2 linked regions of the Ovis aries genome follow. The protein of the gene in region 1 interacts with the protein of each later gene in a biochemical or structural test. Links are inferred from orthologs where the notes say so. Each region holds a gene or a part of one and is shown on either strand. Other genes may lie near its edges.

What was found.
Region 2: the proteins of WAC (region 1) and VCPIP1 form a complex in vitro, tested with the Homo sapiens proteins (2 studies listed by BioGRID). The link is inferred for Ovis aries from reciprocal best matches to the Homo sapiens genes WAC and VCPIP1.

Annotation. Positions count from the first base shown.
Region 1 is NC_056066.1:35,537,171-35,552,132, forward strand, and holds the start of WAC (WW domain-containing adapter protein with coiled-coil), read right to left. Parts: upstream 9,673-14,962; 5' UTR 9,253-9,672; coding exon 9,212-9,252; intron 9,127-9,211; exon of another isoform or gene 9,005-9,126; intron 8,839-9,004; coding exon 8,801-8,838; intron 7,293-8,800; coding exon 7,080-7,292; intron 1-7,079.
Region 2 is NC_056062.1:43,848,975-43,863,842, forward strand, and holds the start of VCPIP1 (deubiquitinating protein VCPIP1), read right to left. Parts: upstream 8,722-14,868; 5' UTR 8,479-8,721; coding exon 5,766-8,478; intron 1-5,765. UniProt on the Homo sapiens protein: Deubiquitinating enzyme involved in DNA repair and reassembly of the Golgi apparatus and the endoplasmic reticulum following mitosis. Necessary for VCP-mediated reassembly of Golgi stacks after mitosis.

The sequences.
Region 1 (14,962 bases):
GTATTTTACAGCACAAGAAGGAGTCCTATAAAAATTGATAGGATCTGAGGCAATGTCATTTTCCCTCCTCTGCATTTCCTGGTTTTACTATAATAAATCTGTACACACAAAGAAAAATTTTAGTACAAGCAGCACTATACAAGTCCAAGGACCCATTAACTCCAACCTTGCCTTGCATAAACGTCCTATTTCAGAACTCAAGCGGATAAAAAATTCTGGAAAAACAGGAATATGTGTAAAGCTAAATATGTCAACAATATGTCAACAGAGTGATCATATTCTCCAGAACTCTGCTGTCCAATTCAGTAGTCACTAACCACATGTGACAAGTAGGCACAGGAAATGTAGCTGGTCCCAACTTTAATATGCTATAAGTGCAAAACAACAGATTTCAAAGACTTTGCAAAAAATTGGATTGTAAAAAATCTTTAGTTTCTAAAAAATCAAGTATGCGCTGAAATGAATATTTTATATACATTACATTATATAAAATATACTAAAACTCACTTCACTTTTACTTCAACATGGCTACCAGAAATTTCCACAGCTGACTTGCCTTTGTGGCTCACGTTTTAGCTCCATTGGCAGTGTGCTCTAGCACCATGTTACTCACGTGCAACCAGCAACACGGGCAACATCTGGGATCTTGTTAAAAAGGCAGAGCCTTGGGCCCCACCCTAGATTGTCGAACTAAAATATGCATTTCAGCAAGATCCCCAAATGTTTCGTATACACATACAAGTTTGAGAAACACTGTTCCAGAAAACCGCAATTTCATTTCCTTAAATCATAATGACAAACCCAGTATTCTTTCATCTACCCATTTACTAAAAAGATCCATAGTGTGGAGCACTGTTCTAGGCCACTGGGATATTAGGGGAAAAAAATCATTAAGAAACTCACTCCCTATTCTGGTGGTGTGTTCCAGAGGACAAGCAACTGTCAGTTCTGCTATAACATGGCTTTTTTTTTTTTTTTGGGAAAATCAAGTTTGTTTGAGTTCTATTGATTTATCAGGAAACTATCTGAGCATAACACAAATTTCCCACTTACCTACAAACAATTTCATCTGCTGAGAAACACCAGCTGCACCCAGCTGACCAAGCTACATATGCATTCACAGGATAGACACACACCTCAAATACCTGCCAGTTACCCCAGTTCTTCCAGTTAGGAATGATATCCACCCACAGTTGGTTACAATTTTCAGAAGGTTACTTCAGATAACCTTCCTTCCATCATTTCACAGTAACTCATAAACTGCAACCTTTCCACAAGCTAATTTCAGGTCATTAGCAAAGTAAAATGCTGTTACTAACTATACTGTTAGTTTACTCCTTAACCATTTAACAGTTATATCAAGATATTTGTAAAGTTCCTGTTTTAATGTGTCATTGACAATGTTTTTGAATACTGTGCCCCTATCACATTTTCCCTATAAATCCCAGGGTGCAATTTTGCACGGCATGGTAACTTTCAGTAACATGTGCTGTAACAGAATGACTAGAAATAAGTAACATCAGATCACTTTAAGTGCAAGGAAAGAACAAAGCAGCAGACAGGACAGAGGATGACAGGGAGCTGTTTGAGTCATCAGAAGGATAAGTAGGCCTCTAGGGGAGGGGGTGCTGAAACTGACCCCTACTGGAATGAGACAGCATCAGGTGGACATACAGAAAGATGAGCATCCCAGAAACAAGGAGCAGAACTCTTGAGACCAGAACAAACTTCCTGAGGGCCAATGTGGACAGAGCAGCACAAACACCCAGACACCAGATTTTACAAAGAGCCTATTACAGGCATTGGTAAGTAACAGGGTCAAGGGAGGGTCTTGAACTTGAGTGATGTAAGCTGACTGGCATTTTATCTGGACCACTCCAGCTATGTGCTGTGAATAACAGTACAAAGCAAAAAGGATGCAGGACACCACTTAAGAGGCTGTTGAAGAGTCCAGGTAAGAGGAGAGAATAGCAATTTTAAGTATATACCACAGTTCAACTTAGGATCTGTTGGCCTTACGATGATGTGGAAGCAACAGGCATGCAGAGTGAAAAGCGCACTTCTAATTGTGAATTCTGCTCTCTTCCCAGGCTAGTATATACCGAGGATGGGGCGGCAGCAGCAGAGAGACGGACGTCCCAGTCAGCCACGTAATTAGAAGGGGAAACAACTCCTACATTTACAGCCAATTCTGCTTTTCACTCTCAGTACAGCAGAGTTACATGAGATATTCAATACTTTATTATAAAGCAGGCTTCCTGTTAGGTAATTTTGTCCAATTGCAGGCTCATGTAAGTGTTCTCAGAACATTTAAAGTAGGTTAGGTGTATTAAATGCATTCCCAACTTATGTATTTTCAACTTTTGAAGGGTTTATTAGAGATGTAACCAAGTGGTTATAGTTGGAGTACAACTGTAAGGTAGAGATAAGGTTTTATATACAGCAAAAACACTTGCCTTCTACTTTCAATAGCTAATAGTAGGCTACATAATTGGATTATATGTTCATCGTAAAACAGGAATAATCCTGATCAGCCTAATTCAAAGGGTTGTGAGACCGGATATAAAATGGCTTTCAAAATTACCATGCATCAAATAAATCATAAAAAGGAGACTCTTCATAGGATATATTTTCAAGCCCTAAAAAACTGGTTTTGAAATGACTGACAAACTCCTCCTCCAATACTTAGTATAAAGTCCCAGAAGAAGAGTACAGGTACATATGTGGGGTATGAAGACACCCCCAGCTCACTGCTAACTCCACTCTTTTCAGCACCATAACAAAATGATTAACAACTTAACCCAAACCATCCTGCACAAAAGGATAAGACAAAAAGAGGCTTAACAGAAAGACCATCTAGAATACATATTTTCTGTGAATTATGAACCCCAAATCCTAAGCATGTTCACCAAGAACTTTAAATACATCTTGCATAACTCAATCAGTTCAATTAATACTGCCTTAGGCAATCCACTCCAGTCTTCTTGCCTGGAAAATCGCAAGGACGGAGGAGCCTAGCAGGCTACAGTCCATGGGGTGGCAAAGAGGTGGACACAACTGAGCAACTTCACTTACTTTCTTTCTTAAAATTTAAGATCTTAAAGTAAACCATACCAAAATAGTTTTGACTGTGAACTGAAATCCATTATATCATAATAACCACCTCTTTAAGAATACCAAGAATGGCTTGCCATGCCCTCCTCAAGGGGATCTTCCCAACCCAGGGATCAAACCCATGTCTCTCATGTCTCCTGCACTGGCAGGCAGGGTCTTTGCCACTAGTGCCATCTGGGAAACCCGTTTCTAGACCAATCTTACTATTGGTTCCTTTCACACAAGTAAATATTCCCTCATCCATAAACTATAAAACAGGGATACTATCTGTTCTACCTACCTTCCAAGGTCAATGCAAGGATCAAATGAGACTGTTCAATTTTATAGTACTTTCTAACATTACAAATGCAAAGCATATTTCATTTTATCCCAGTGTAAAGTTATTCAAAGAACCACAAAAGTCATACTATGCAATTATCAGTCTATTTAATGTGAGAATACTAAAATATTACTAAATTATTTTAAAAACTATAAAAACAAGTTATCCCCAAATACTTTCTACTGAATAACAATTCCTTCAAATGTTACAGTAACTGTCATTTGAAAATTGGATTAAATTTCCCAATTTCTCCAAATATGGGTAAACGACCCAAAAAAAGGAGGGGGGGGGGGATACTTTCATTATGCAGTGAAAAACTTTAAAGAAAGAATTTAGAAATGTAAGCACTAAGGCAATTTTCCCTTTGTACTCAAAAATATTTGAATACTAACTTTAAAAGCTATAGAAATTCACTTAATTCCCACAATTCAGGGAACCAGTAAAGAATAATTTTTTTTCGATTTTGATTAACCAACTGAACTAAGCTATCTCCCCCTAAAAGATGTTTCTAACAGTTAATTCTTAGAGGGAAGATAAGAAAAATGGGACAACCCCCATGAGGCTGAACTTTTGTGCAACAGATTTACATAATTCCTATAAAGCTACCCTTCATTCCTAAACTCACTGGTACCAGCATCATCCTGAAAGTTACTTGGTAAAATTATCATTAGAACTAGTCAACAAAAACATACTTTAATGAAATGGAAAAAGCTTAAAAATTCCATTAAGTACAATTTCAACCTAAGCTATAAAAAAAAAAAAAAATCAAACGACTGTACCTTAGATTCCTGCTTTTGGTTATTTTTAAACAAAAGATTATATTTTGCAAGTTGATCACAATATATGTAAAAATAATTTTCCACCAAGTAATGAACTTTTAGGTAATGTTATGTCACAACATTTCCCTTAGTTACAATAAATAATCTAAACTCCCTTTCATAAATCCTATGGGATAAAAATCTCTAATTCCTTTAACTGTACAAACTTAGTTGGAATAAATCCTTTTAAACTGCAGACTTCAATCTTCTGCAGGGAGTGACAATCCTCAATCCCTACTTTCTGATTTCTTTCAGTATTAGTATGTCTTAAAGTCTTTTTATATATTACTCTAAATTGACACTTTAAGGAAATCTAAGGTGACAAGAAGAACAAAAAAAACAACTGTGATGTGGACAGATGCCAGTAAAGCCCGGTGGGGCAGTGTGGGGTAGGGTAGGGGGTATGTAGACGCTTGAGTTAGGCATTTATTAAAATTAGATTTTAAAATCCTAAAATAAAAATCAATTTTATATTAGTTCAATAATATAGTAACCTGTTCTTATATTGTTACTCACACAGGCTGAGTACTCAGAGAATCCAGCTTACTTGCATTTGACTTTGAATAATAGTTTTTATCTTTATGTGAAAATCTATCTACATATACAATTGAATTTATAAAGATAAAAATATCAAGGAATACAAACATCTATAATGAAATTACACATATTCACTTTAAAATGTTAGTTTCAAACTCTCATTGTTAAGAAAAAAACAGCTGGAGTCAAAGTATAATGACTTAAATATCTAAGAATTAACTGAGGGAAGAGTCACCACTTCACATCTTTAAAACACAGAATTAACATCAAAGATGCTCTCTGCACTCAAGAATACAGACCGCATTTTACAGTATTTGTTATTATTCCTCCATGGTGTAAAGTAATATGGCAGCCAAGTATATGAGAGATAATACAGACCAGGAATGAAGTTAGACCAGGGATGAAGTTAGTATTAGTTAAAAGGCTCCAGAGGAAGACAAGCAAATAGCTAAAAAGCAAATCAGAAAAGGGGATTAATTTAGCAAATGACTAGATCAGAAAGATAAGTTTCTTACAAATGGAACTAAAGAAACATCAGCAAACAGATGCAAATAAAAAAGAAACTAAAAGCCAACAAGAGGAAGGAAAATGAAAATCAAAATGAAGGGGGAAAAAAAAAAAAAAAAGAGTACAGAAAAAAAAAGCAAGCAGCTAAAAACAAGTAGCTCTCCAAAGTCAGAGCTTTTAGTAACAGCTTCAAGGACAGGACTACATCTCAGCATTACTTCCAGGCACACCACACAACTGCTGACACACAGTAGACGCCCAATGTTTGCTCAATATTTAAGCATTAAGCAACAGAATGTTCTTGCGAGTATTTCACCTGTAAAAGAACTTAATCAGACACAGTTCACTGTAAAAGCATGAAAACATTTACAGAAGTTTCCTAGAGTACCTAAAATGACCCTTTTCTGGATCTGGGGGTAGATGACAGATTAACCAAATCATATTCACTAAAAGAGAACCTGGGATACTTATTCTCTTTAAGGAGATGAGGTGCCACATCCTATTTAGTCACAGTACTGCCTTCTAAAATCCAACATTTGAAATGAAATCCACTATAGTAGTGACTGGTAATAGAATCTCAGGCTAAACATAACACTACACAAAACTTACCCCAAAGATTAATATTAATTTGCCCCCAAAATTCTAACTTATTAACCAAATCCACCTGCTGTTATTTCCAAACAAATATGTTTATATGTGTAAGTAGCATACAGCTATGCTATATTTAACAGAGAACTAAACTCCCCTCCCATTCAATAACCATCCAAATATTCCATCTCCATCCAATCTTTTTTTTTTCCATGCAATCTTCTCACCACTATTAACTTCCTCAACCCACCAATTATATACAGAGGAGGCCAATGTTTTCCAATATCTCATCACACTGAATATAGCTGATTTCTATCCTAGGAGGCAAAAAGAGAACCAGAAGAAGCAAGATTTGAAGATAGTTGAAAATCAAGAGACAGAAAGCCATGAGGGACTCTGAGTTTCCTTATTTCAAACACATTATCTATTATGCAATTTAAGATCTTATAAATAATAGAGATGATTAATTGACTTAGTGAAATTGGCTTGTCCCTCAATGAATGCCAAATGTAGACAGGAAATCTGATTATTTTGGTAAATTTTGGATACATTAAATCTGAAAACAATTTATTTTCAGCCTCCTACCACAAAAAACTTGAAGCAAAGTAATAGCTGAAGGGTAAAACCACTGAAATGCACTTTTTAAAAGGTGAGTATCTGAGTACATACAGAAGTTACATTAATAAGACCCTGGAAAATATGAAATAGTATTTTTCTTAGAAAAACCTAACAAAAATTTCCTGTATCATGAATGACTTTCTTAACCCATGAACTGTCTCAAAAAACCTTCTAAATTTTAAAATTCATACTTTACCACAAGAACACACACCTGAACTCCTTAAAAAATAAAATGAAGTAGAAACAAGGATCTCAAAATTAACCAAGCCAAACTGCAATCTTGGAAAGTTGAAAAGCTGAAAATTCCTTTCTTGGAGAAATGTCCTGCATGTCACTCACCATTAATAAAACACTGGTAGGCTACATTCATAAATGCATCCTCTAATTATCACCCACTGGGGTCCAGCTGTAGATTCTGGGGTCAGCATCTTATTTCTACATAATTTGTTTAGGAATCAAAATATTCTGATGACATAAACATTTAGTAACATTTGCAAACTGGAAATATGACTAAAACTTTTTGTCTTACATAGAATTATTATTAATAAATGTAAGTTTCAATAGAAAAAGCTACTCACCACCATCCCTCTCTCTAACTCTGTGAATATGCACATTTTTGGCCTTACTGTGACCTGTGCTGTCACTGTATTTGTTTTCAGGACTATCAGATCTCCGCAACATTTTGTTTGGTGGTGAAGGATCTGCGGCGTCTCGCATTTTTTCATGTCTGTGATCACCACTACTGGGGTGACTCTTCGATGAATACTTAAGTGCCTGTAAAACATCACCCCCCCAAAATAAAAAAGAAATCAAACTTTAATTTCATAAGTCAGTTTTATCATAAAATTTGCTATATTACCTATATTCAGTTTTATAAATTTATAAAATTGAAATTTTCTTTTTGAATTCTGCCTTTAAGTTACTCACACAAGACCTAAACACAAGTTATTGTAAGGCTCATCATACATATCAAAATGTGTTTTTTTTAAAAAACCTTCTATTAATCATCTTGTAAACACAAGAAATCAACACTTTGACAAATTAACTCCTCAAACTTTTCTGCCAGTTAAAAAGTTTAAGTATTCACTGAGTACTACTCTAATGTTTTTGCTCTGCAACTATGCTAGACACAAATACAAATAAGCATAAACATGTTTCTTCGATCTGACCCAAAAAAAGCATCAGAATTCAGAGAATTCTCATCAGAATTTCTCCAATTCTTGGATTCAAGTAAGTAAGGCATTTCAGATCTAGTTTAACTACTCTTGCAGGCATGGGAAACAATTTTAAGGTATAGAAATGTAGGCTCTTATTTCTGACCTATCCTAATGGAACTTAATGGAACTCCCTCAAAAAACATTTAACATATTTAAGACAACCATGATATAGCTGTCTTTTTTAATGCATAATTAACCATGTTTTAGAGTGTGATTCAACAGTTTAATCGTTGACCTATCCAAATGTAATGCACAATGTTTTACCCGTCAAGGAACCTAGATTTTTAACTGGAACTTTAACTCATGCTATCCAGAAACACAACCGTTAGCTTGGAAACCCGCTCTCCTATCCTTTAAGTGGTCAGATGCAGTAAGTATTTACTTCTAGAGTCACCCCACAGTTACAAATTAATGAATTTTCCTCCCCCGGAAAACAGGGGCCAACTCTTTCAAAAAAACTTTTACAATGTTACACGAAGCTGTCACAAAAAGAAAACTATGTACCTAAAACTCCTTTCAGGACAGTGAATTACCCAAGTACTCAAAGATCTCAATTTCTACAAAAAGAAAAGCGCCATCTTTCACTGAAGACAATTATTTCCACCGAAAACAAACTGGGAAGGGGTAATGGTTTACAACACACTTAAAGAGTTGCAAACCCATCAGTGGCTTCTTCCCTGCCCTTCCGTCTAATTCTGATACCTCTGCGTTAACTTTTAGTTTCCCCAAAACAACAAATGAAGGTGATTCCAGAGTTACTGAACACGTTGTCCTACCGAGTCCCGCACACCCGAATAACCGAGTCAGGTCCTTCCTGGACAAGAATCAGTTTTTATTCCCTTCCCCCCACCCTCCCCGCAAAAAGAACTTGAACTTCCTCCCGTCACCTGTCAAAATAAGCCCCCACCCCTCGCCGGCGAGCGCCCCGGGAAGCGAGCGCAGGGTTTCCGGCCCCACCAAGCGGGTTTCGCGTCTGTGGCCCCGAAGGGCCTGCAGCGACCTGTGAAGCCTGCGCTCGAGTAGCGGCTCCTCCCTCCCCCGCCGGCCCCGCCAGCCCCGCAGCCCGCGCCCGCCCCGTGGTACCTGGTAAGGCTGCGCGTCCCCCCGCCGGTCGTGACAGCTGGAAAACAGAAGAAAAGGCCACCTGAGGCCGGAGAACGGGCCCCCAGCGCGGGGCCCGCAGAAAGGCCCCCGCTCCGAATCCCAGCGGCGCTCCGGCCCCAGGCAGCCCGCCCTCCCGCCGCGCGCACACGCTCTCGCTCTCACACCCGCTCACACGCACTCACACGGGCTCCCGCCGGCGAGGGGCCGCCGCCGCCCGCGGCCGTCCACCCCCGACTCCCCCCCCTCCCGCCGCCGCCCGCGCGGCCGCTCCCCCTCCCGGCCGCTCCGGATCAGGGTTAACAACAAAAATGGCGGCGCGGCCGGCCCAGATGAGGAGGAGCGCCCCCCCGCCGCCCGCTCCGCCGCCTCGAAACGAAAAGACGATTTACCCATCACTGAGCCTCTGCTGTTTCCTCGCATACATTACCATCAATGCCCGGCCTGTGAGCGTGTGTCGGGGAGGGGGGAGCGGCCGCGGGAGACGGCGGCGGCGGGCGGGCGCGCAGGCGGCGGGCGGCGCAGGCCCGGCGCGCCCTCGGCGACGCTCAGCACCTCCCCGTCACTGGCGCCGGCGCTCCCGGGCCATCTCCTCAGTCCGCACCACGCTCACGCTCAGCTCAGGCCGGGCAGCGGCGAACCGGGGGGTGGGGGGGAGGGGGCAACACGACGCGTCCTGCTCGCCCCGCGGACAGCGCGACTGCCTCCTCCGCCTTCTCCTCCTCCCGCTCCGCCGCCTCCTCCCCTCCTCCCCCCGCCGCCGCCGCTGGGTCCTTCGCCGCCTCCTCCTCCTGCCGCCGCCGCCGCCGCTGGTGCCGCCGCTGCCGCTCCACCAACTACATCCGGGCAACTCGGCCGCTGCGGCCTTCGGAAACCCTCGGCAGTTTCCGCCGCGCCCCTCCTCTCCCACCCTCGCGCGCGCCGGAACGCCGCCTTCGGCAAACCTCGGCTCGTCGCGGCCCTCCTCTTCCTCCGCGGCCTGGCTCGTCTCCTCGCGACCCGTCCGCTCTTTCCGGTCGCCGCTACCGGTCCGCACGCGCCCTTTCGGCCGCCGCCGTTCCGGCTTAGGGGTAGTCGGGCTCGGGGAGCCGCCCGAGGCTGGTCCCGGGGGCCCCGGGGCGCGCGGGGCGGGGAGCGTCTATGGGAGGAGGCCGGTGGGGCGTGCGAGGAGCCATCGCGGACTAAATAAGGGCGGCTGCGCTGCTGCGCGTGCGCCCGGCGGCGCGGGGGCGGGGGGCGCGCGGAGGAGCGCGCCGGCCGCCGCCCCCGCCCCCGCCCCTGCGGGCTCCGGCCGGGAAGCCCGTGGTTGGGCGGCGGGCGGACGGTGAGCCCAGGTGCTCGTTGCGTGCGCGGCGGCCCGAGCTCCCGCGAGGCCCTCTCCTCGGAACCGGAGCCTCGCTCCCGCCTCAGACCGGCGGCAGACCCAGAACTAGGCCTTCGGCCTCACAGAAGTAAATCATCCCCGGAAGCTCGGGAAAAGGGTAGGTGGTGTTCAGGGTCACCGTGCTTTGTGCCCGAAGCCCGTGCGCCTTCGAAGACCAAGGTGAGGACCCGCGGAGGAAGGGCCAGCGCCGCTGCTTTGAAACACCCGATGAGCCTGCTGATGTAGGGAGACACTCATACTTTCCACCCCAGCCGCGCCCTCCCCACCGTCTCCTTTATTTCTCGTTTTTTTCTCTTTTAGCTCGTCCGCGCTCAGATCCAGTCATCTGGAGTTTGTCGCAGGTGAACTAAGGCCTGGTGGTGGTGGTGGTAGTCGCAGAGTCCTAGCCGACTCTTTGCGACCCCTTGGACTGTAGCCCACCAGGCTCCCCTCTGTCCATGGGATTTTCCAGGCAAGAATACAGAAGTGAATTGCCATTTCCTTCTCTTGGGGATCTTCCCAACCCAGGGATTGAACTTGGAATTGCAGGCGGATTCTTTACCAATTGAGTCACCAGAGAAGCTCCAATAAGACCTGGGAAGTGCTAACGAGTTGCTGCAAATTGAATTTTATAGACTGCTACAGGCACAGTGGCATATTTAGAGGGGAAAATATCCAAGTATACTCCCCAATTAAGCTTTACGTGTGTGTGTATGTTGGTGTGTGTTGGTGATGATTTAGTCCTTAAGTCGTGTCCGGCTCTTTGTGACCTCATGGACTGTAGCCCAGCAGGCGCCTCTGTCCATGGGGTTTTCCAGGCACACGAATACTGGAGTAGGTTGTCATTTCCTTTTCCAGGGGATCTTCCTAACCGAGGGATGGAGCTCAGGTCTCCTGCTTCGCAGGTGGATTCTTTACCAACTGAGCCACCAGGGAAGCCCAAATAAAGGCCTCGGGGGCAGGGCGGGCGGGGCGCTAAATTTGCTGCAAATTGAATTTTATAGACTGCTACAGACTCAGTGGCAACATGGGCATATTTGGAGGAGGAAAATCCAAGTACACCCCCCCAGTTAAGGAGTGTATCTGTGTGTGTGTGTTGTTCGCTCAGTGGTGTCAGACTCTGCCACTACACCGTGGCGAATAGGAATATTGGAAGAGTGAAAAAATCCAAGCTTACCTCCCAGTTAAAGGGGGAGGGGGGTGGCAGCTGTGGCGGTGTGTGTATTGGTCACTTAGTTGTGTCAGACTCTTTGCCACCCCATGGACTGTAGCCCGCTAGGTTCTTCTGTCCATGGGATTCTCCAGGAAAGAATACTGGAGTGGCTTGCCATGCCCTTCTCCAGGGGATCTTTCTGACCCAGGGATGGAAGCTGTTTCCTGCCTTGGCAGGCAGGTTCTTTACCACTATCACCACTATGAGAAGCCCAACCTTTACCTGAGGATGATGTATTCAGGTGGTTTTATTTCTTCTGCTCTAAACTTCTTGTAAGGCAGCATTAACTACAAAGGATAGTAATAAACGTAAACTAAATATACAGCCATTTACATGGAAGAAAAAGGCAAGGTAGGAAACAAATCAGAAGAAACAAGATCCCTTCAAAAATCAGTATCAAAAAATTGATTTAAGTGGTATCTAACCGGTTACATTATTGCTAACCTAATCAAGAGATGGGATGATGTGGGAGGAAAGGACCAGAAATCACAACTGATGGGAAAAAATTTATTTTAATCAGGTAGCCTTATTTGTCAAAAGGTCAGATTTTTGCTGTTTGGGAGGACCAGCAGAGGCCTACTTAGTGCCCTCTAATGCTGTCAGTAACTAAGAGGAAAACTGCCAGTGACTGAAATGGAAGAAAAAGAAAAACGAGAGTGTTTTAAGTGCAATTTTTAACACTTTTGTAACAAGACATCACGTTGGAACAGCACAGAAAATAGTACAGAAGTCTCATGCACAAACAGCTTGAAAGCTGGCAGCAAAATTTATTACTAATTTCTTGTTCAGTGATTGGATGTCTGCTGAACCTATTACACGCCCTTTGATCAAAACAGCAAACTGGGCTGAGCTACAGAGAGAAACAGCTTTAGCAGTGTACAGTCCATACCGGTTATTCTGCATTGGTGAGTTCGCTTTCTCACTAAAATTTATTTGTAATACCCAGATCAATATCCATAGTATTTCTGGACATTCATGGTAGAGAATGTGACTTGCCTGATAGGCACTGATGAGGGTAAAGGCAACACTCAGTCCTATTTCATTTATCATACTAATGTGTAAACACACATACTAATGTGTAAACAAATGTGGTTTTCACGATACACACATAGTCATGTTTTTAGCATTTTTTGTTGCTTTTAGCTGGTGACTTTCCTGTTTTAAGTGCCCCTCCACTCCCACCCCAAACACCGTGCTGAACTATTATCTAGTACCCCTATGCACAAGACGGCTGTGATGTTCTTTGTGGAAAAAATGTGTAGTACATCGGGTTGATTTAGGTATGTCATTAGTGCTCTTGCCCATGATGAGGTCAGTTCTGATGAATCAACAATATATTAGATAAGATGTCTAAACAGAGGCTTCCCTGGTGGCTCAGCAATAAAGAATCCACCGGCAGGGCAGGAGATGCAGGTTCAATCCCTGGGTCTTGAAGGTCCCCTGGAGGAGGAAATGGCCATCCACTCCAATATTCTTGCCTGGAAATTTCCGTGGATAGAGGAGCCACCACCACATGTCTAAACAGAAATCAGTTGAATCAGTTCACGAAAATGTGGTCAAGAGTATCTCAGGACCCCATCCATGTGTTTATTTCCCCAGGAGCAGTTCAGCGTTCCCAGTGACTGTAGACACAGCTGCCTCAGATGATGAGAATCGACTATTTACCGAAGTACATATCCAAACGTTAAACCCATTTTTTAAAAAATTTCACTTCTGTAAGAGAATCTGATTCCATTATCTGTTGTTATGACTCCTCTCTTCCTCTACTTTACCTACCTGACCCGTGTACCCTACTCAATTCACTGTATACTTGAGGAAAATGAGCTGCCAGTATTCCTCACCCCCTATGTTACTGAAAGCTTAGTCTCTGCACAGGTGCCATATCAAATCCTGGAGACAGTTTAGGGTGAAGAAGAAAATATCTTTATTCACCAAGCAAAGGGAAACACACCAGGTTTCTGCCTAGAAAAACTGTGTGTCCCAACCCCAGAGGACTTGATGTTGGGGTTTTATAACAGTGGTTTAAAGGTGGGGTCTCTAATAAGATTAGGATGTGAGCGTAACAAGTTGAGGATGTGAGCCTACCAGGCTCCTCTGTCCATGGGACTTGCCAAGCAAGAATACTGGATAATCTTCCCAACCCAGGGATAGAACCCACATCTCTCATATCTCCTTGTATTGGCAGGTGGGTTCTTTACCACTTGGGAAGCCCTTCATCTCAGGTGGACGGTCTCCTAATCTTGATGGTCCCTTTAATCTTGCCTCAGATTGTTTCTTGTATGCTCCTCCCTTGATCTGCCCTTTGGAGCTCAGGGAAGGTCGTGGAGGCTGGAGTCTCTCCTACAAGAAATAGGGAACAGAAAGGCCTCTATGCCAGGGAGCCTCACTGAGCCCTGCTCAATTTCACCTCTCGCTAATTTCTCTTAGCTGTGTACCCTACCCAGCTGTTTAACATCTTCCAAACCTGACATTACATCCTGAGTCTTTGCTGTGTTGCTTCTTGTTTCTGTAAGAAAATAGAAGGAATCAGAAATGTGTAGCAGCTCCGGCCCACTCCCACCCTTGCATCTAGCAATGTTCCTCCATCTGAATACACTACTAGCCTCCATAACTGGATGGACAGTCCAAATTCCTATCCAAGTCCAAAATGGCTACTTTTATATCAAGTTCCATTTTACTCTTGGAATTGTCCTCTTGTAAGAGTTTCCTCACTCAACTTGATCATTTTTGTCTACTTATGAACATTTTAATAACCGCCCTCCAGGGAAAAAAGCTTGATCGTGTCTCCCTCCGAATACTACCCCATTGCTCTGATCCACTCCTATACAGAAAAACTTGCATGTCTGCTACTCATTCTTGAACCCGAAAGTCAGACTTGATCCCCAAACTCCACTTAAACTTATGCTCTGGATCCTCAGGAGCCTCCATGTTCTCAAACCCACTTTTCATTTCGCAGTCTTCATCTTACTTCACCTGTGAGCTGCATTTGATAACTCATAGCTGATTACTTACTCTCTTCCTCTTGAAGCTCCTTTTCTTGCCTGCTGGAATTCCACTCTCTTATGTTTCTCTCCTGTTTTCTAAATGACTCCTTAGTCTCCTTGCTGGCTCCTTGCCTATCTTAAAATCCACTAATGGCTTCCCATCTCAGAATGAAAGCCGTGGACTTTGAATCTTACCGTGGTGTACAAGGCCCTGTGTAAACCACTCCCACCCACGTTATCCCCAGTTTCGCATTCAGGACTTTTTTGCTTGCTCAGTCTTCTCCCACCTCTCAACCCTCCACTTTCCTCTGCTACACCAAGCATGTCTGGGTCTCAAGACCTCTACTCTACTGCCTTCCCCTTGGCACCAACTTTGCTTACGCTATGTCCCTCCTCAGATCTCTTTCAAAAAGGTCAGTGCTCTGGGAACTATGTAAACAGCACCCCACTTACTCTCTTTTACTCTCCCTTACTCTGCTCAATTTCCATTTATACCATTTGCCTTATAATGTCTTGTGTATTTCATTTAATGGTTGGCTCTCACTAGAGTGAAGGCTCTATGTGACAATGAGATAAATATTTG
Region 2 (14,868 bases), on another chromosome or scaffold:
TTTTAATTCAGCTGCTTCTTCATAGTACAATAGTAAAATACTTACGTTGAACATACTGTGCATAACTGTACAAAAAAAGACTATAACACAACCATAGAAAACCTCTGTTCATACCCTGTCTTCCTCAAATCCTTCCTAATAATCTTAATTCTCCCACCTGACAGTAGTTATTATATATGGCAGTGACAGTATGGATGATTTTCCCTTTGGTTGTCTAATTTTCTTCCTCTTTAAAAAGAAATAAAAATTTTAAAGAATGTTAAAATAAATAATTTTTTAAATGATTTTTTTCTAGATTTTAGAAAAAAAATCAGTTAATCACTAACAATAAAATAATGAAGCTAAAAGTGAGTTTAAAAGGTTATCATTCCAATTTTCTAACTTTAGATATTTAAAAAGGCAATTTGAAGTTTCTACTTGGCAATTTATAAAGCAAGTAAGATTTTAAAATCTAACATATATGTGAAATAGTTATTAAAATAAGAAAAACAAAATCAATTTTGAAATACTATTTACAGTCCCCCCTCCCCAAATATCTAAATTAATTCTGAACTCGAATACCTATTACCATAAAACAAACTGACCAAAATGTACATTTAAACTAGGAACTTGGGGCTGTTTCTACTAGAAAAAATTCTAAAGGTATTCATTAGCTGAAAAAGTTGTTGCCATCTCTCTACCCTTCCTGCAGATTCTGCCATCTAAAATTGTCTCTACCTTGGTGGCTCAGAGGTTAAAGTGTCTGCCTCCAATGCGGGAGACCCGGGTTCAATCCCTGGGTCAGGAAGATCCCCTGGAGAAGGAAATGGCAACCCACTCCAGTATTCTTGCCTGGAGAATCCCATGGATTGAGGAGCCTGGGGGCTGTAGTCCATGGGGTCACAAAGAGTTGGACACGACTGAGTGACTTTACTTACTGAAAGAAAAGTGGAAGTGAAGTTGCTCAGTCCTGTCCCACTCTTTGCAGCCCCATGGACTATAGCCAACCAGGCTCCGCCATCCATGGGATTTTCCAGGCAAGAATACTGGAGGGGGTTACCATTTCCTTCTCTAGAGGATCTTCCCGACCCAGGGATCGAACCTGGGTCTCTCGCATAAGCAGATGCTTTACCGCCCACCATCTACCTTACCAACTGTCAAAACCATTTCTAAGAAAGGCATGCTTGTTTCTCTCCTTGTATTCAGTCCCTTATGCATGTCTCAGTGTAATCATCAGCATTAAAAGATATATTTATCACACACATACATGCACACAAACCTAACTGTGTGGAAACGTGTGCACAAACATACAGAGTCTGAGTCTCTGGGGAGTAAGAGAACTATTGTATTCTACTCCCTACATAAATGAGTTCTTTGAATTTTTAAAAGTAATATTATCTTATAATTGAAAAAATATGAAGAAAAAAAAATAGAATCATGTTTAACTTAATCTTCAAATTAATTATAAAAATCACCATTTATAATATACATATTTACCTTAAGATACATCTATATGCATTCCTTTTATTCAATTTTATAACTGTTCCCCCATTAGAAATATGCTGTTTATAAATCAATTAGAAAAGTTATCTGATAGTATGTTAAGAATAATAGATGCATTAAGTAATATCTAGATTTGAAAGTGTCCTTCACCCAATATTTGAAGAAAAAATTCAAGAAGCAATAATGATATTCAGACTCCAAGTCATCTTAAAAATAAGTGCCTGAATACCAGATGCGATTCTGAAAATACCCAAGGCAGCTACCACATCAAGAAGTACTATGAAATTATGAAAAACTGTGTTAAAAAAAAAGAAGCTGTGTAATTTAAACTTGTATATTAAAAACTCATGCCATTCTTTCAGGAAGATAGAAAGTAGTTTCTCAACTCCTGAAAGGATGCTAATCTTCGCAGTAAAGTGGAGTACATATAACAAGTAGCTTAATTCCATCAAAGCAACTCTGACAACGTATGTATAAAACTCCCATAAAACTGACCAACTGTTTTTCACAAATCTGTCTTTATCTCTTGAAAAAGAAAATTAATGAAAAGTTTTGTGGAATATAATACTAAAAAAAAGAAATTAGCCTAGTATTTACAGTGGATAATGTACTGTCTATCATATCTACCACAAAAAGCTGGCCTGTAAGAAAATTTAATTACATATTTTGAAAAGCCAGCGTTAGAGTCACTCACATATTGTATAAATAATGAAGAGAACAGTGTAAAAAACTGTTTAATAACATCCAAGTGGTCTGGATAAAGAAGATTAAAATCTGTGAAATATTACAGGTAAGAACACTGTTATTCCTTTTTTAACTAACGTTAATCATTAGATTCAAAGTGACAAGTTCCATGAACTGAGCAAAAGACTGATGCACTCACTTACTGTTTTTATACAAATAATAGATATAAATTCTATTTAATAAATATCCTACTTAAAAAAACAATAGAGAAACCCCATGTCTCTGGCTATCAAGAAGTCAGCCTATTTAATGAGGATACACAATCATTATACACACATATATACATAGATATCTTATATCTTTATAGCTTTTATCAACAGGTCTCCAGCTTCCTTTTTCTCTATATATAAAAATTATAAATCAAAGCTATAAAAGTATGGGAAGTCCTCAGTTGAGACCCTACAGGTAAATTTACGGAAGGCAAGGATCATGTGTGATTTATCTTTGTATCTACAGCACAGTCTCTAGCTCATAGCAAACATTTTGCTGAAAGAATCGGCATTCATTCATTCAACAAGCATGTACTTAGCACCTAGTAAGTGTGAGGGCCAGTACTAGGTGATAAGGTAGTAAGTAAACCAACATATAAAATCAGGAAAACTTGTAACAGGTGCTATGAGGGAGATGAACAGGGTGCCATAACAGAGGGAACCTACTTGGAGTGGCTTAGCAAAGGTCTCTGAAACCCTTACCCCTGGGTAAGGTGGTCAGGAGGAAACCTCTTGTAACAAAGTGGTATCAAACCCTAAGCTAAATGAGAAGGAGCCAGCTATTTGAACAGCAGAAAGCTTGATGAGCTATTTGCTAAACTAACACACAGTAATTCACAATTTCTGCACTTTGAAATTTACAATTTTCTTAGTAAACCCTGTCATTTCCCATTTTCCAGCCCTCTCCAATCTAAACATCAAGAGTTGCCAGCACTCATTCACATAAGGTTGTGTGTACTTACTTAGCTATCCCCATACTGAGATTTTTTACAAACATAACACTTTTAAGAAAATCTTCCCAGGAATTCCCTGGCAGTAATGTGGTTAGGACTCCATGCTTCCACTGCCGAGGGCATAAATTCAATCCCTGGTTGGGGAACTAAGATTCCACAAGCCCCACAGCATGGCCAAATAAAGAGAGTATCTTCTACATAATTCAAATAGAGTTATGAGAGAATTAGAGGTAGAAAACTAATCCTTACAGAGGGACTAATATACGGGCCAGGCACTGTTTTTGTATTTTAAAGCAGAAAGTCAAGTAATACCACCATGAAATTAGCAAAGCATTACGCTTAAATTCTGTGTCAGGAGTAGAAATGGGAGAGTTAATGAAATGTGTGGGTTTTTAAGGGCAGCAACATAAATGCCAGAGGTGGAAAGAGAAGAGATCATTAACAAGAAGACATCATCTTAGTAAATTCCTCGCAGTCCACAGTCCAGTACTCAGACACTAAGGTCCAGAAACCTCAAGTCAAACTCAAAAAGTGACTAACTGTAAACAAGAATTATATTTTACTGATTTTCATTATGAAATAGTAATATATTATTATGCTGGCCAGAATTTTAGACTACTGATCATAATCTCACCGGTGCCACTGCATTTTTAATCTCCATGGAGAACACAACCTCCAAATGAATATAAGCCTCACCTCACTGTCACCTCCACATCAATACTTACAATCAGAAGTTAAATGAGTGATTAGACTAGAAGTTGATGACTATGGAATCGGTAAAGGGATACAGATTTTTCAGCCAGGCCACGGTGAGGACTGATCAAACAGTCCTGTCCCTCAAAAGAGATTACCTTTCAGTTACCAGAATTTTCATGAGCCCCAGTTGACACATCTTTCTCCTTTGTACAGCACTGTATAAACAGTGCCAAATTCTGCTTTTCAACTGTTTTTCAATGTTCAATGCTGACCATCCATTCCATTTCTGCTGACATAGCCTTTCTTTAGCTATGTTAATGTCATCTATTTAATTCAATCAAAAAAACTTCCAAAGTGCCTACTACCTGCCGGGCACTATACAAGGTGCTGAGTATCCAAGGCTGGATATGAGCCACATCCTCTTCTATTGAGAAAGACCTCTCTTCCTGACCAATCTATGACCTGGAGATTACTGGTTTTTTAAAAACGTGCCTTCAGCATACATCTAAGTTTACCCATTCTGTGCTGGTATTATTTAATTTACAGAGTTCTGGGAGTACATAACTGTTACCTAAGTATCAACTACAAGAGGTAATCCTGCCTATAGGAAGCAACTGAAGGCCTGAGCAGTTAAGCAGCTTGCCTAAAACCACTAAGTTAATAAGTACTGAAGCCAGAATTCAAATTGTAGGACTTTGTGACTCCAGAAATCAGTCTTTTCCTTTACTCCACACAGTCTCCAAGAAACTAAAAACTCTTAAAAGACAGAAAAACGTAAAGTGCCCCTAGTAAGTACATTTCTTGACATATCCCCCAATTCAATAATTACGTCTGATAAAATAAAGTCAGCAATATTAAGCTATAAACTGGCATAGATAGATCCCCTATTAATAGATTCCCTATTAACTAGGCCCCCAAACTTAAGCCAGAAATAAATTATCTTCATTTTGGAAGGTCAAGGCCCAATTCACTGATATTTAGTACTCAGAAAAGACAAAAAAAAACCCAGATCACTTTTTTACTTGAAAGATATCATCTCAGCAAAAATAAGGCCCCTCTAATATGTAATATATTTCAGTTTTACTTCTACTTTAAGCCTCAATAAAACATACTAACAGTAATTTAAAAACAGATTAGCCAATAAAAATAATGTAAAAAGTACACCATTGGATCATTTCCCAAATCATTTAAAGCTTTAAATCACCTATTTGGTTGACAATATATTTTTCTTTATGTTGAATTATTAAAAAGAAATGCTTCTTAAGGAATCCCATTAACATCTACCTCTGTTGATTATGTTTTTCATCAGTTATAATATAATAGTTCATTATAACTGATGGCAAAGAGTCACCGAGCAAATTACTTAAAACACAAATCCTGATGTACAAATAAGAAAAAGCTGATGGATTGGGAAAGGGAGAACAGGAAATGGATAAGAAATTATTAGGTGGGAGTGCAATGAGCATGTAACCCAGAAACTGCAATTCATCAAACAGGAAGTCCTGAAATCACATGACATACAGGAAAATGAAATTTAAAAATAAATGACAAGGGACAAGGTGTGCACACTCGAAAGAGCCAAAGGGGTAAAAAATGGAAAAGGCTGTAAATGGAGTTATTACACTACGATTTTTTAAAAATAACAAGCAATACATTATACTTAAATAATCTGGTGACAGTAAGGGACTACTTTCACTTTCTTAGTTATGTTTTCCCAGTATTTACTCAACAGAGAATCACACTAACATCTATCCACTGTCAAAAAACGAAACAAAAGAATTTTCTTCTAAAATATATAATGTTTTTACACTGACCAGATTTTTTTCCACAAAGACATGAGAAAAACTCAGTATATTACATTCACAGTTATGAAACACCATCTGAGTTAAGCTGATCTTACCCATTAACGTTGCTAAAAGACACAAGGAGTACATTTCTTTGTCAGCTTGCTCCTGAAGCTCCTTAGATGGCAGCCTGCCGGCGACAGCACTATCTTCTGGTTTCACAGTGTGGGCCGAGTGGGCAGCAGCAGACTGACCCCCTTCGGCTTTACTTTTCAGAATCTCGATTGTGATTCTGTCACCATGCTGTAAAGGAACTGGCTCCTTTTCCATTCCTGCCTGGGGTGGCATTAACTCTTTAGGAGGAAAGCCGTATCGAATACACTGTAAATATGGCGGAATGTTGAATTCTCTGGCTATGCTTTCCTGAAGTTCAAAAAAGGTTGTTGAAGACTTAAGTGTAACCATGGACTGCCGTCCGTCATTAGTTGTGATTCGGATCTTTTTCTCCTTAGAAGTGGTTGGCGAATAGGGAGCCTTGGTAGGGGTGGCAGGTGCAGAGGATGGGCCATCACGAACAGTACTGGGAGAAACAGTCCTGGGCTGCCCCTTCTGTTCTTGTTTTAACTTCTCTGTTTTCCGTTTCTGCATTACAGAAGCCTGTTCCGCAATATTCTGTTGAATAGTTCTTTCAGTTTTACTCATGTTTAACTCCTCCTTGTGCAAAGTTTTTGCTTTCTGTCCAGTAAGAATAATTTTAGTTGGGAGCGGGGACTCCGACTCTTGTCCTTGTACATCTCCAAATCTTTGGGCATGAGCACCATCTATATTTACAGGAGTATAATCATCAGGATTCTTTTTGGCAGTCTGATGCAATATAGTGTGGACAACTTTCTGAACTAAGATTTCACTCCCGAATTCACCTGGAAAGTGCTTGGTAACAAGTTTCATCGCAACGTCATACACATTGCTATTCAAAGATGCATCACTTTCATACTGGAACCAATACACTGTTTCTCGGACCACTCTTCCACCCCATTCCAAAGTAATAGGAAAAGCTTCTGGTAGATTGTCATACTCTTTCCCATCCCAAAAATGTTTGAATCCACAACCACATTTGCCACCAGTGGACCTGGAATTAGTTCTGTCCCCATCCAAATAAACAATAGACCCATCTCCTCTAACTCTTCGCACAGATGTGCCATGGCACCAATTACAAGCTGTAAGGTTACTCAAGCCGTAGTCTGGTACCAGGACATCTCTCACTGAATCATATGAGCAAACCAAATTGTTCAAGGGAAAGCTATAATTTTTGTCAGGCCTCAGCTGTCCATGAGTACTTTTTGCCAAGTTATACAGTTTCCCTCCCGGAGCCAACCACTCTGGAGGAACATGAAGTTCAGAAAGGGCACCACAGAGCAAACATTTGTGAAGGCGATTATCCATTACTGCTTTTTTAGCAGCTGCTGTGACTTCTTCAGGCTGAACTCCTATCACCCCGGTCCTCCTGTAGAAATACTGATGGACATCAGCCACCAAACTAGGATGGATACCGTGCTTGTCCATAAAGACTTCTTCCATAGCAGCAACAAGCCGAAGTAAGTATTTATCCTGCAAACTTCTGTCTCCTCCAATAACGCAACCACCATCCTCCTCAAGTTTGATGTACTTCTTAATGAGGTCCTGAGGCACACCCCATGCTTTAGGAAGCAAATTCATAGGCAGTTTAGGCAAAGCAGCCCCTTTTATGCCTACCAACGGGATATAATGGTTTCTACCAGAGCTACTCCAAGCGATACAGATTGGTTTGTTCAAATGACCATCTCTGCCGGTGCACTTCTCTGCAGGGATGAGCCCTGGCAGAAAGGTGGCTGAATAATCACCAGAGCTTCTCATGCCACTGAGCGAATCTAACAAAATAATAGGGCGATGAAGCACATTGGCGAGGCCAAATATGTGGATGTTCCGCAGACCCAAGGGAACCCCCTCAGGCGGTACAAACAGAGGGTCACACTCGTTGATAATGTCCTCCCACTCAGCAGCATCAATGAAGTCATGGAACAGCGCTTGATACCGGGCCAAGTGCTGCTGGAAGTGCTGTTTAAGATTCTCTCTCAAGGCATGCCAGAAGAGCTCCCGGCCCACTAGGGCCCGGGACACAGCATGCACCAGGCAGTGCCCGTCCCCGTCCACATGCACGGGAATGAGGCATTCCTGACTTTTATTGGCCCGCTTGATGTCCTCGAGGGTGTCATGCAAATACAGGAGGCTTCCGGAGCGGTCCTTGCCGTAGCCCACCGTGTTGACATGCTCCGGTTCGATGAGGAAGGCGCGGTCACCCAGCAAAGCGCAATCGAACAGCTCGCCCTGGTTCATGTCCCGGAGCAACTTAGCCCGGCCAGTCTGTTTGTCCATTCCGTAGCGAGCTAATATGGGCGACAGCAGTTTGCAGTGGTAGTTTGAAAGGCCCATCACCTTTACCAGTTCCGTGTTCTTCTTGGGTGCCCCCGTCACCCCGAGCAGCGCGTTCCGCAGCAGGTTGTGAAGCACTACGTCCGGGTCGGTCACCTCCTCCACCCCCAGCAGCTGTTGCTGCTCGTGCCGCTGTCCGCACTCGGTACACTCGATGCTGACGGAACCGGAGGCCGGGAAGAACAGACGCGCCTGGCACTTCGGATCCGGGCAGCTCCCGGAAAGGATTCTCCGGTCTCTCCGCTTTGAGAGCCCCCCCGGAGTCGCCGCCGCCGCCGCTGCCAGAGACGGCGGAGTCTGCGGAGCCTCTGGGGGAGGCGGCGGCGGCGGCAGCGGAGGCGGCGGCGGCGGCTGAGACATAGCTCTCGGCTCTCGAGTCTCGCTCCGCGTCCCAAGCGACCCTCAAAGGCTCATAGCCCAGACCCCCGCCGGCCCGACTCGGTCTCGTCCAGGCCCAGGGCGAATCACTTTCCTTTCCCTACCAGCTCCTCCTCCTCCTAAGCGAAGGCGGAAGCGCCGGACGTTGTTTCTCTTCTTACTTCTCCACTGCCGTAGCCGTTGCCCCGAACGTAACGGCCACCACCCTACCCCGCACTCACACTCACTCACTCTCGCTCTCTCTCCCTCAGACACACAGACATACACGCCCTCCCTGAGACTGCGCAGGCGCAGCTTTCACTCTGCCCTCTGGGAATTAGAGTCTTTCAGCCTTTCGCCTGGCCGTCAAGTACTAGGAGCTTGGGTCCACAAAGAACTACAAGTACCGTGAGGCAAAGCGGTTCGGTGCCCGGAGAGAGGAGGAAGAGGAAAGTAATAGGAATGGGGGCAGACAGGAAGAGACTCACTCACGTTGTCTTCCGGTAGTTGTAGTTCTAGCTCAATCTCTTTTGTCGTCGTCCCCATTCTAAGGCCCAAGCGAAATGAGTATGAGAGACCACATTTCCTAGGATGCCCTGCGGTGCGACCAAGCTCACTTCCCCCTTAGGCGGAGGGAAGGATGCAGGGAAGCTTGGTTAAAAACAGAGTTAAAGGGAATGGGTGTCGGAAGCAGAGGGTCTGAAGTTCACGACTGCTAGAAGGGGAGGGGAATGAAAGGCTCTCAGTGAAGAAGGTACAGTAAATATATGTCCAGCGACATGGCGGGCTGGGAAGCTGAGTGAAATGGTCTAATCAAGGCTGGAGGTCATGAGAGAAAAAGGCGGAGAATGGTGAATTGATTCTCGGAGTGTTACTTAATTTTTTTTCTGTCACACTCCTTTCTTCTTATTCCCGCCTCTATTACAAGCCGCTGAGGCTATTGAGTCCCCTTTACTGCCTTCCCTCCCCCGCCATTGGGAAGCACAGGCGCCATTTGTTTCCTCGTTCCATGTACGTCTTTGCAGTTTACAGTGCAAATAAAAATACCTTGGATGTGTACAGAATTTAAGTACATATCCAAAGTCTTTTAAGTAGTTTTGTTTGCTCCTTACCCTCAGAGAGTAATAACGGCTATCATTTATTACGTTCTTGGTATATGTTTGTCATAGCATTTACATACACGATAACATTTGATCTTCATAATGTTGCTCCAATACTTGGGCAACCTTGCTAGGAAACACTTCCGAAAAGGAAATGACTTGCTCAAGTTCAGGAGCTCTCAGGCCTTGGTCTGTACCCATTTTACAGACAAGGAACATAGGCAGGAAAGGTTAGGCCAGTCTTGTACAAAATAGTAACTAACTTTTAGTCGCTTATGGTTTATAGTTTACATAACATGATCACACGGATCATCCCACCCACACTCCTGTAACTCCTCTACCAGGTATTGTTGACTCCATTTACAGAAACAGACTAGAAGGAATTAAATTACTTGTCCAAAGTCAAATCACCAGGATCTCTCAGATCCAGAGAGTGCTTTTTTTTTTTTTTTAACTTTATTTTACTTTACAATACTGTATTGGTTTTGCCATACATCGACATGAATCCGCCACGGGTGTACACGAGTTCCCAATCCTGAAGCCCCCTCCACTTCTTACAAGAGAAAAAAGAAACTTTTAACCCCAGACCTTTTGTTAGGCCTCAGGCTCTGCTCTTAGTGACTCAAGGGGCTGTAAGGATGTTTACTGTGTGCTAGGAAACTGTCTCCTCATGCAAAACACATTCATATATTAATTGAAAGCTAGTATTTTTTTGAATATTGTACAGTCAGCCCCTTTCTCTTATCGTTCTGGAAACTCTTGCTTTCTGAAACCTTAGATAAGTGCACCACCTCAAAACTTCTGAAACATTTGGCACAAAATAGATACATCAATACAGTCCATGACCCCATTCCCATTTTCTGTAGCTGCCAAGGCTATATTTACCACATTAGGTTTTTCTGAATAAATAAAATTTGATGCTCTGAAATGAATTGTCTATAAACTAGACATTCCTAAAAGGTATTAGTACTGACTTTCACTAATTATCTACAATTTTCTTCTAAAGAAATGCATTTTAGGAATCCTTTAAATGTTAATTATTTTCTTGCTCAATTCTACCTGGCCTGTGCAAAAATAATGGTATCTGTGTATAAGAGAAATAATGTTACTTAACTTGAAGGGAATAATCTTCAATAAAGTTTTTCATAATTGATTAATGCAGGAAACTATTTTAACAGTATTTGGTGGTACACTACACAAAAGGTCTTGGAACTGATTTTTAGTTCTAAGGTGAGAAACTAGATATGCCTTTTAAATGCAAATTATTTTATACCTTGACAGAGAAGTTACACCTGTGGTGAAATTATATTTTTCTTATGATCAATGGTGAAGCTCCAATACTTGGGCCACCTGATGCAAAGAGCCAGCTCATTAGAAAATACCCTGATGCCAGGAAAGATTGAGGGCAAGAGGAAAAGGGGACAACAGAGGATGAGATGGTTGGATATCATCACTGACTCAATGGATGTGAGTTTGAGCAAACTTCAGGAGATACTGGAGGCCAGGGAAGCCTGGCCTGCTGCAGTTCATGGGGTCACAAGGAGTCAGACATGACTTAGCAACTGAACAGCAACAACGTGATGAAAGCTTAGGTGAACAAGAAAGATAATGCCAGTGTGCAGTTCTAACATTGTCGTGTACTTTCATGTCAGCATCACCAAGTCACATTTTCCTTGTTGATGATATGAACAGTGAAATGAAAGTTTTAAAAATTGCATCTGAATATTTCATTCTAATTTGTGCCTTCACAAAATAACTACTTCTTTCCTACTGAAGACTGGCTTGTCAATCATAATCCATTTGACTGGTCCAGAGTTTCTTTATCCATATGGAACCTAGATTAGTTAGAAACAAACTTCCAAAACTAAATTTGATATCTAAACCCATTTGTTACCGTAGTTGTCCTACATTTAAGGGTTATAATTTTGAAAGAAAAAAATAGAAATACCCTGGATTAAAGCATAGTTAATGGGAGGGAGAGGAGGTAAATTTTCAAACAATTCTAAAATGAGATCATTTAACCTGAAAGTCATTTATTTAATGAATCTATAGATGCAAAGTTCAGAAGGTAAGAAAGCTAACAAATAATATATTAAAATTATTATATGTTTTGTATTAAATTATATTAACCAGGCCAAATCCAATATATGAATTCTTTACAGGCACTTAGGCATGGATACCTATAAAGTAAGATTGTTAAGACAAAACATAAAATCATAGGAGTTCAGAAAGCCCTTAACCTGCTTATATGCAGGCAATACACGTGTGTCCTTCCACGTCCCCTAATGCCATGATCTAAATTATGTAATAACCTGCTTTATAGGATGCATAATAGTTCTTTATTCTTGCCTCAGTATTCCAGATGGGAAAAATGAGCTGGGCACCTAATGTTAGCTGTTCTAATACCCACCTCTTCTACCAACATCATCCCAGCATCACTTATATCTGAATTGTCAAAATTAAAACTGAAACCCTCTTTTTTTTTTCTTTTCATAATTTCTAGTATGGCTCGTCTAAACTTTCTGTATTGCTTTTAACAAACCTGGTAAATGTAAGGAGCAAGAGGCCTCCACTTGACAATGGAACAATCATCATTGTTTGTTCTCTTTTATGTGGAAAAAAGAAGGGAAGCATAACTTTGGGGATGATTAGAAGTGGGCCTCATGTTTTTGCCTATGAAAGATACATCTCTACTGAGAATTGACTATGTCACTTCAGATACCTACCCTGGACATTGACAAGCTTTCGTTGGGGTGGATGTGAGAGGGACTTAAATTACTGAAGTAGGTATTATAGGAACTTAAACGGAGAAGATTGCAGAAGTTAATCCCTGTCCCAAAGAAACATCCCAAAGAAACTCAAAGTCTAGTAGAATGAATGTTATTGTTTAATTGCTAAGTCGTGTCTAACTCTTTGTTACCCCATGGACTGTAGCCCACCAGGCTCCTCTGTCCATGGGACTTCCCAGGCAAGAATACTGGAGTGGGTTGCCATCTCCTTCTCCAGAGGATCTTCCAGGCCCCAGGATCAAACCACATCTCCTGCAGTAGCAGGTGAATTCTTTACTGCTGAGCCATGGGCTTCCCCAATAGAATGAATTGTTGTTCAGCTGCTAAATCATGTCTGACTCTTTGTAACCCCATGAACTGCAGTACGCCAGGCTTCCCTGCCCTTCACCATCTCCCAGAGTTTGCTCAAGCTTGTCCGTTGAGAATAAGCAGGCTAAACTAAATTGTTCATAAATACAAGCAGAATAAAGAATATAATCAAAATAGTATAACTGATTTACTTTGCTATACAGCAAATTGGCACAATATTGCAAATCAATTATATATTTTTTTTAAATCACAAGTGCTATGAAAAATTTACTGAGGACTTATTATAGGGCAGGCATTTTAAGTATTTTAATCTTTAAAACAGTCCTATGAAGTAAGTAAGGTTGTCTTTATTATACAGATGAGAAGACTTAAAGCTGAGAAGTTAACATTATTTTCGTTATTACCACCCAGCTAGCAGTTAGCAGAGCTGGGCTTCAAATCAAGGTTTTCTTCCTTGTTCAGCACTCAGTCTTTCCACTGCATCATAGCTGCTTAGTGATCTGAGAGAGAATTCGCCAAGACGCAGAGTGCAAACGGTGGCCAGGAGCCAAACTTGGCTTAGATGTGTTTTTGTTCAGCCAGAGGCAGTTTAACTTTGCAAAAAATGTGGACATGTTTGGGCAGTGGCCAGCACTTCACTCTTTAAGGTCATGCACCAGGCCCTCTTGAGACAAATTACCTGCCTGGCTCCAGGAAGCATTTGCATTTTCTATCACTGGGCAGTCACTGAGGATCCGTAGAAGCAGTAGCTCTCAAGAGGCTCACAAAGAAGATATGTCCAAGGGTAGACATTGTACACAAGAGCTGCAGAATATTTGAGGAAGAGTGATTGGCAGAACTTATCACTATGTGAACATGGGAGAGGTCAAACATAGAGCCACACGTTATGCCTTAGCACAGTCATTCTCAAACTTTTAGCGAGCTTCAGAATAGAATATAAAGCTAACATATGAATTGCTGGGCTCTACTCCAAAATGAATACATCTGGGCTGGAACTTGAGAATTTACATTTCTAGCAAGTTCTCTGGTACTGCTGATGGTACTCCAAGATCACACTTGGAAAATCACTGCTTACCTGACTGCAGGGCACTTTGAGGGAAGATTTCAAAGCCAAGATTTTGTGTCTTGGTTTCTATTGTTTTCAGTCCAAAAAGAATCACTTGACATAGAATGTCTAGTAAATAAGTAAAAAAGAAGAAAATTACAGGGAACTCTATGTAATGCATTGTGGGGGACCTGAATGGGAAGGAAGTCCAAAAGGGAGAGGATGAATATGTATATCTGATTCATTTTGCTGTACCGTAGAAACTAACACAACATTGTAAAGCAATTCTGCTCCAATAAAAATTAATATTTAAAGGAAGAAAATTAAGTCTGTTATCAACTAGACTTCTCAGTTGTTAACATTTTTGATGGACTGTTCAAGTCCTTTATTTCTTAAAAAAAAAAAAAAAAAGATGTGGAGAGAGGATATCCTTTTTTTAAGAAGCCAAGATTGTATCGTTCTCAGCCTTATCGTAATAGCTATTAACACTGAGTGTCTACTGTGCGCCAGGCTCTCCACATTTATTTAGCTAATCCTTACAGCGTCCTTATGAGCTAGGTACTGCTGTTATCTTTTTTATATTACAGATGAAGAAACTGAGGCACAGAGAAGTTAAGTAACTTGCTCAATGTCTCATTGCTAATAAGTGCCATGAAAGTAAAAGTGTTAGTCGCTCAGTCATGTCCGACTGTTTGTTACCCCACAGACTAGCCCACCAGGCTCCTCTGTCTTTGGAATTCTCCAGGCAAGAATACTGGAGTGGATAGTCATTCCCTTCTTCAGGAGATCTTTCCAAACTAGGGATCGAACCTGGGTCTCCCACATTGGCAGGTGGATTCTTTACTGTCTGAGCCACCAGGGAAACCCAATAAGTGGCATAATTAAGGTTAAAACCCAAGTAGTCTAGCTCCAGAGTACACTCAGCTGTTGTCCTATACTGACCCTTAGGCTGTTCTGACCATTGTACTATATATACTACCACGCACACAGTTCTTAACTTGCATTCATTCATGTCATGAACAATCTTCATAACGTTAAATATTCTTGTCCAACATTTCAAATGAACACCTCCTTTAAAAAAAATATTTCAAGCTTTCAAAGATGTACAGAAAAATAATATAAAAACCACTACTAGGTTTAACAAATGTTT